Diceros bicornis minor: one gene and its partner. Each later gene encodes a partner of the first gene's protein in a complex. Links are inferred from orthologs where the notes say so. Each region holds a gene or a part of one and is shown in the gene's direction. Other genes may lie near its edges.

Region 1 (3,909 bases):
TTTGCTTCATCTTGAGTTCTCAATAGTTCCAAGGATCTGAGTGATAATGGTGGCCACTGAGCCAAAGCACAACTAGAGATGGTCTTCCCCACACTCCAAAGATTTTTCTGCTCCCATCTCTTTTTACCTTTCTATGGAATTCTCCCCACCAGCCCTTCTTCTCACCACATTCATCCTTCGGGTATCCAGGGCACCTGCACATTCGACCCACCCCACGCCAAACTTGCCTCCAGGAAAAGAAGTGATGTAAACACTTCAGCATGTTAACAAGCTCCTTCACAAACTGGCCTCCAATTACCTCATCAATCTCATTTCCCACCACTTCCCTCTTCTTTCCAGCAACAGACGGTGTGACACAGTGAACAAGTACGGATTTGTGTCCATATAGACCTGTTATTGAATTCTGGCTCTGACATTTCCCTTAGGCAAAGTCACTTTCTTTCTCTGAGCCTCAGTTTTGACGTCTGAAAAATAGGAATAATGGTAATATACCAAAAGCCCTTTTAACAGAGAGCCTAAAGCCATGTGAACACATGATTTAAAGTGATATAAACCAGGAAAATAGCCCATCTTCTCCAAGATCCCTTTTTAACTCCTAACGGTCTATGAAATTTACAAAAAGCTTAAAGTGCTCTGGATGTACGGTAGCATATGACTGGGCCAATAGGTGAGTTTTCAAATGCTGAATGTTAATTAGTGCCTTGAGGAAGCATAATGTCCCTGTTCTTACTAGTATATGAACAAGGACAATTTTTGTTGGCCCACAACCTCCTATTTAGCATCACCCAAGCAAGCCACTTAAACTCCATCACCTCGTTTCCTGAAGCCCTGAGGTCTGCCTTTGAAAATATGACTGCAGCTCGGTTGGAGCTTCTGAACTGGTGACCATGCACCGCAGCACTATTTATTTCTTAAATGAGAGCTTTGGCTTGGTTCTTGAAGACCCTTCTTCAGTGTGAGTTTAAGTCACAGGGACTATGCCTCCCATGTTTGAATTCAAAGCATGCTCAGGCATTGGCGAGCAGGGAAAGGAAGATATTTGGGGCGCAGCCTCTGGAGGAGGTCTCTAAGGGCCACTAAAATGAGATCATATCAAGCAGTCTACTCCACGCACGAGGACAGCACACACACGAATTTGCAGTAGCAGAGTTTGGATCGGAATGAAAACGCAACAGAAAACAAAATGACGCAACACCCCTAACCACGGGAGCCGCGACTGCCTCTTAGCGCCAGCGCGCGTAGACGCATGCGCGCGACCTTCGTGGGCGGGGCTCAGGCGATGGCGCCGGAGTGCGGGGCTGCGGATTGGCCAGCTGCGAGGCCGACGGTTGGCCCTGCCCAGCGTACGTGCGCACGTCGCGTGCGCGGGGCGGGAGCGAGCGAAATTCAATCTCCGGCCGAGATACAGAAACCCAGAGTGAGGGTCATGGAGGCGTCCCGAGGGGTTGCGGAAGCCGAGGCCTTAAGCCCAGAGCAGGCTGCCCATTACCTGAGGTATGTCTGGGCCGCTGGGCTGGTCTAGGCCGCAGGCCCTGGCCGGGAGTGGGGGGCCCTCGGACCCTCCCAGGGGCCCAAACTGCTCAGACGGAGCGTTGTGAGACGCTCGCCCACATTCTCGGAGTAGGGCGTGGGACTCTGTTTAGATTTCTAAAGCCTGGGGAGCTCCCTGATGCCCCCGTTTTTGGTCAAATAACTCTCCAGCATGAACTCCTTAAGAGCCAGAACTTCAATTAGTCAAGCCTTTCTTGATTCTTTACAGCCTATCAAGCCCCAGGCCTAGAAACTACAGAGATGAGTAAAGCACTGTCCCTGTCCCCAAATTGCTTATAATCTAGTAGTGGAAAGGGATAGGTAAACCAATAATCGCTATGAGGTTTGACAGGTGCTGTAAGAGGTATAATGTGTAAGGCACGGTATGGGCATAAAGGAGGAAATGGCCAACTACAAGGGTCGGTGAGCAAAGGGGAGGAGACATTTGTGTTGAAAAATGAGTAAGCAGTCACCAGACGGCCAAGGGTGGGGGGCATGGTGATGGAAAGAGCATTTAAAAAATTTTTTTAATTGTGATAAAGTACAACATAAAATTTACCATCTTAACAATTCTTAAGTGCACACTTCAGTGGTATTAAATACATTAACATTGTTCAACTATCACCACCATCCATCTCCAGAACTCTTTTCATCTTGCAAAACTAAAACTCTGTACCTATTAAACAACTCCTCATTCCCCCTACCCCAGCCTCTGGCAACCACCATTCTACTTTCTGTCTCTGAAATTGACTCCTCTAGGGACCTCATGTAAGTGGAATCTTACAGTATTTGTCTTTTTGTGATTTGTTTATTTCACTTAGCATAATGTCCTCAAGGTTCATCCATGTTGTGTCATGTGACAGGATTTCCTTCCTTTGTATGCATATATATTCCATTGTATGCATATATCACATTTTGTTTATCCATTTATCTGTTGATGGACACTTGGATTGCTTCCATCTCTTGACTGTTGTGAATAGTGCTACTGTGAACATGGGTGTGCAAGTATCTCTTCGAGTTTGCAGTATCTCTTTGGGTGTGCAAATATCTGCTGCTTTCAATTCTTTTGGATATATATGCAGAAGTGGGATTGCTGGATCATATGGTAATTCTATTTTCAATTTCTTGAGGAACTGTCTTCTATAGCAGCTGCACCGTTTTACATTCCCACCAACAGTGCACAAGGGTTCTAATTTCTCCACATCCTCGCCAACACTAATTTTTGCTGGGTTTTTTTTGTCGTTGTTGTTACTGGCCATCCTAATGATAGTGAAGTGTTATCTCATTGTGGTTTTGATTTGCATTTCTCTAATGATTAGTGATGTTGAGCATCTTTTCCTGTGCTTATTGGCCATTTGTATATCTTCTTTGGAGAAATGTCTACTGAAGTCCTTTGCCCATTTTTTAGTCGGGGTTTTTTGTTGTTGTTGAGTTGTAGTTCTTTATATATTCTGGATATCAACCCTTTGTCAGGTATATGATTTGCGGATATTTTCTTCCATTCTGTAGGTTGCCTTTTCACTCTGTTGATTGTGTCCTTTGATGCCCAGAAGTTTTAAATTTTGATGTAGTACAAAGAAATAAATTGGGACAGTGGAATAATTCTGTCTCCCTTTTCAAAAAGATAATGTTTTAAGGCTGTTAAAAGCCAAAAGGTGGACCCGACCCCGTGGTGTAGCGGCTAAGTTCGTGCGCTCTGCTTTGGTGGCCCGGGGTTCACAGGTTCGGATCCTGGGTGCGCACCGACGCACCGCTTCTCAAGCCGTGGTGTGGTGGTGTCCCATATAAAGTAGAGGAAGATGGGCATGGATGTTAGCCCAGGGCCAATCTTCTTCAGCAAAAAAAAAAAAAAAAAAAAAGCGCGCCAAAAGGTCACCTTACAGAGCAGTAAAAGCACATCTTTGGACTAAGTTACGTGACTTCCTTAAGGAAGACTTAGGGAAAACAGAAGGAGGAGATGTGGTATGGTAGAGTACTGGCTTTAGAGTTGGGCCATTTGGGGTTTAAATTATGGCTCTGCCACTTGCCAGCTGGGAGACCTCAAGCAAGTCACTTGCTATTCTGAGCCTGAATTTTCTCATCTGGAAAATGGGGATAGTAAGGCTTAAGACCTTTAGTCCCCTCCCCTCCTTTCCTTGAGCAAGCAAGTGGGTCTCTCAGCTTGCACTGAGTCTTCAACCCTGCCTCTCACATTGGCACCTGTCCCTCACTCACTCCCACATGCTCTCTCCTGAACATTCTCAAACTAGCTCCCACTCCCCTCAACAATCACCCCCTTTTCTCACAGTCCCCACCTTTCTCACAGTTTCTCTGTCTCTCATGACATCCCATCTCTCATGACCTCTCAACTCTCAAAATTCCTCATTTATTTCTCCTAAT
Region 2 (3,909 bases), on another chromosome or scaffold:
GTCTTAGATAACCTTGTGCCTTTTGATTTTAGCCCCGAAGGGGAGGCACTTGCATAATTACTAAATTCCCAACTGGAGTGGTCTGGAGGATACGGTAACCCAAAACTATACGTTAATTCAAACCCTCCCCGCGACTGGGCAGCAAGGAGCTAGCATATGCCTTCTTTTAAAATCTATTCTACCTATTCACTGACCGCGCAGGGCTGGGCCACATGGTCCCCTCTTGCAGCCAGTCAGCTGTGAGCAGCAGATGGGCTCATTTGCATTTTTCTTTTTATATTTTCTTCGATCGGCAAGTTAAAGGATTTTTTTTAATTTACATTTTCATTGTTTGCCCAAAATATAGACGTGGCTTAACTGTTGGATTGAGCTTCCCTGACTCTCACAAACACCACACCCCTTCATGTCACTGAGACTTGAAAAAAATCCCCGAGCGGGGGGGTTTCGTATTTATCAACTTGGAATCTCCAGTCTGGGAGTCAGGAGTAGAAAGAATCAGCCTTTGAGCTGGTGACTCGTGTTTTTCTATTTTAAGCGCTCGGCGCAGATATCCCGTGGGTTGGTCTGTGGCATGTGGGTCTGTGAGCGCGCGCACTTCTGAATCCTCGCTCTGCAGCCTCAAACCTCAAAACTTCGGGTTACAAGTAGAAGGCAGATTTTTAGCTCTCAGGCTTACAACACAGGGCGGCCACCGTGCTGGGGGAGTGGCCAGAGCCAGCGTTTCCCAGCGCCGGGGTCGCTCTCCCGCGGCCCGCCAGACTCCATGCCGGTGCCGCGGGGCCACCCGGGGCCCTGCGCCCCGATGTCTTTGTGCCGAGCGCGGCGCGGGAACACCCGCCCGGGGCCGGGGGCCGGCCAAGATGCCAAAAATGCGGGAGAGGCGCGGGCGCCAGAGGAGGAGACGCCCCGCACACTGCCGTCCCGCGGAGGAAAAAAAGTAGAAAAAGAGGCTTTTCAGGTCAAACTCCTCCGGTCTGAGAAACCACGTTTTAGGGAAACAACTCGCGGGGGGAGGACACACGGCGTGCACCGGACACCGGGAGCCGGCGCTGCGCGCCGCGCCGTGGGTGCGCGGCCGCCGCCCCCACCCCGGGCAGCCGGCGCGGGCCCACGTGGAGCTGCGCGGCGCCTGCCGAGCGCGCCGGGCCGCCCGGGGCCCCGGAGAGCGCGCCCCAGCTCCCCGCCGCGGCCGTTCACGCCCGAGCGCCGCCGCCGGTCCCGCGTGTGCCCCGCTGAGGGGGAGGGGCGGGCCGGGGGTGGGGGCGGAGGGGTTGTGGTTCCACTGCAGCGGGGGCTCCTGTGTCCTTGTGCGGAAATGACACACGGAGTCCCGTCACGTCACGCGAGAGCGCAGCGCACGGACACACACAAAGAGAGGGGAAAATACACGGCGCCCGCCCGCCGCCCCCAGCAACTCCCCGGGCCGCCCCGCCAGGCCCTCCGCGCGCGGCCCCCACTCCCCGGCCTCGCGCTCCCCCGCCCCCCCCACGTGGCGCCCAAACTCGGCGCGGGCCCGCTCGGCAAAGTACAGAACTCGTGTCCCAGGTAAGTGCGGGGCGGATCAAGCCGGCCGCGCGGCGGCGGCTCCGGGGCGGCCGGACGGGAGAGTGGCTGCAACATCCATGCCGGGGTGGGGGCGGGAGCAGGGGAGGGGACGCGAAGGGGGGCTGCCCAGAGCGCGCCCGCCGGGAGGAGCGCCCACCCCCGCGCGGGGCCGAGCCGCCGGAGCGGGCGCCCGGCGCCCACGGGCTCGCCGCGCCCATTGTGCCGCGCGCCCCTTTGTGCCCGCTCCGAGCGCGGCGGCTCCATGGCGTTCCGGGGAGCACGCGCGCCGCGCGGGGGCGGGGGGGACGCAGAGTGGAACGGTCCGCGCCGCCGCCCGCCCCACTCGCGCCGCGCGCCGACCCCGCACCCCCGCCGGGCGCCGCGATGGAGCGGCCGGGGCTGGCGGAAGGCTCTGCGGAGCCGGCGGTGGGCTCGGCGCTCGCGCTCGGCCGGGCTGCGTTGGGGACGGCTCGGCGTGTAGCAGGGGGTGTCAGGGCAGGAGAAGGGGGCGGGGACTGGAGCGAGATGCCGAGCGGGGAGCGGGAGGCCCGAGGAGCCGCCGCTCGGAGGACGCTACCTCCCGAGTCTGCAAATGGAGCGAGGCAGGCCCGCGGCGGCGGCGGCGGCGGCGGCGGCGGCGGCGGCGGCCGGGAGCAGACAGGGACGGACCCCGCCGCCAGGGGGCGCAGCGCTCCCTCCCCGCCGTCCACGGCGCGGTTCGCGGTTCCCGCTGCCCGGGAGCTGGAGGCGGGCCCGGCGCCTTGGGTGTGCACCCCGGCTGGCGCGAGGCCTTCCCGGCCGGCCGCGGGGCCGGGGCCCGGGGCGCTCGCCGCCCCTCGTGACTGCCCCCTTCCTCTCTTTATTTCAAACGTGGTTTCCCACGAGGAAACGAGGGCAGAGCTTGCCCTCGCCTTACCGGCGCGTCGTGCCGCAGCACTCGGGAGGGCCTTGTGTGCCGATGCATATATATTTTTTACAAGGTGTTTTTACAGAGGTAAACGAGTTTGAATGCTCGGTGGTCTGTCTGGAAGGATTTTACACGCAAAAGCTAACCTAACCTAAAAAGGGTGCGCGGAATAGGGCTAGCACTTCAGAGGCGGAAAATTTTCAACTTCACCTTCTTAAAGTAACTTTTGAATGTTTAACGTGATAAGGGCAACGCGTAGAGTGCCAGCAAGCTACCGCTGCAGGAGACTGAGGCTAGGAAGTGAGCTCCCGGGCTAGCTTGGTATGTAAATGAGAGAGATGGAGGAGATCCTTTTGTTATCCACACTCCTAACGCCCACCCCCTCAGTTTTCTGTTTTTTCTTTAACCACCCATCCCTAGTTTCCCGTTTCATATCACCACACAGGACCCTGTCAGCTTCCCTCACCCTCAGTGCTGAGATTTACGCAAGATTTTGTATCTTCTTTACAGTTTTACATCCCCGGCTACGACCCCAGTGTCTGATAACTTAGTAGGTGCTCAATAAATATATTTACTAAATGAATGGAGAGCCTCTTGGATTCCAGAAGAAAGGTGGGGTCAGTGCAGCCTGTTCCTACTAGTGAGTTAGCTGGTGTGTGCGTGGCCCTTGAAATGAAATTCACGGGTACAACCAGAGCCTTTAAAATCTGTCAAAATGCCGCTGAGGGTGGGTTTTACCAGAGACGCCGTCTCCTTGTGGAAGTAATATAAAAGAAAAATTTTATGTCCTTCTCTTCCCCCACCATACACAAAGCATTAGTTATGGCAAGAAGAGGGCCCGGTTAGGACCTAGTAACCGAGATAGTCAGCATCGCAATAATCTGTCAGACGGAACCACATTGCAACATTTTTTTCACACATTTCCTTTTGGTTACTTCTAAGTTCCTAAGCATTTCTTACAGGAGCAAAGGAATAGCAGAATGTCTTATATTTAGGAAGAGAAGAATTGGAGTTAACCCTGACAGAGATATGATTCTGGTAAAAATTTAATCTCCTGCAGGAATGTCCTGCCTGCCACTTTTTAGAGCTGTCTAGAAAGCCCCAGAAGCAATGAGGAAAGAAACGGGCTTTTATGAATTGTATTGACACCATGATGAAAAATTTGGGGCTGTGACTTTTAAATACCTCCAGTTTTATAATACAGGAACACGTGAAGGTTACTAGCCAACCAGCAAAAATAATTGGGTGTTAGTGTCTGGGAGGTTGGGTGTGGCTTTTTTTCTTGGCACTTAATTTTGATGATAAGTGGTGAATTATGGTTGCTATCATTATTATTCATTGTGCCCATTATTGGCTAAAGTAAGTTTGGGGAATTTTTTGCAGAATTAATCTTAGGGTGATGGAACTTTTTGGTATCCTCCTCTTTTTTTTTCTGTGAAGAAGATTAGCCTTGAGCT

What was found.
Region 2: the proteins of ERCC6L (region 1) and BEND3 are in contact, whole or in part, in a crystal structure (PDB 5JNO), measured with the Homo sapiens proteins. The link is inferred for Diceros bicornis minor from reciprocal best matches to the Homo sapiens genes ERCC6L and BEND3. Residues at the interface, in NP_060139.2 of Homo sapiens: Ala10, Glu11, Ala12, Leu13, Ser14, Pro15, Glu16, Ala18, Ala19, Tyr21, Leu22, Arg23, Lys26, Phe51, Pro52, Asn53, Glu54, Lys55; in NP_001073919.1 of Homo sapiens: Glu252, Gln255, Ile256, Gln259, Leu261, Asp265, Arg269, Val272, Gln273, Pro276, Phe279, Ser280, Phe335, Arg338, Phe339, Gln342, Glu346.

Annotation. Positions count from the first base shown.
Region 1 is NC_080781.1:65,243,189-65,247,097, reverse strand, and holds the start of ERCC6L (DNA excision repair protein ERCC-6-like), read left to right. Parts: upstream 1-1,390; 5' UTR 1,391-1,426; coding exon 1,427-1,494; intron 1,495-3,909. UniProt on the Homo sapiens protein: DNA helicase that acts as a tension sensor that associates with catenated DNA which is stretched under tension until it is resolved during anaphase. Functions as ATP-dependent DNA translocase. Can promote Holliday junction branch migration (in vitro).
Region 2 is NC_080762.1:27,688,437-27,692,345, forward strand, and holds the start of BEND3 (BEN domain-containing protein 3), read left to right. Parts: upstream 1-1,328; 5' UTR 1,329-1,545; intron 1,546-3,909. UniProt on the Homo sapiens protein: Transcriptional repressor which associates with the NoRC (nucleolar remodeling complex) complex and plays a key role in repressing rDNA transcription.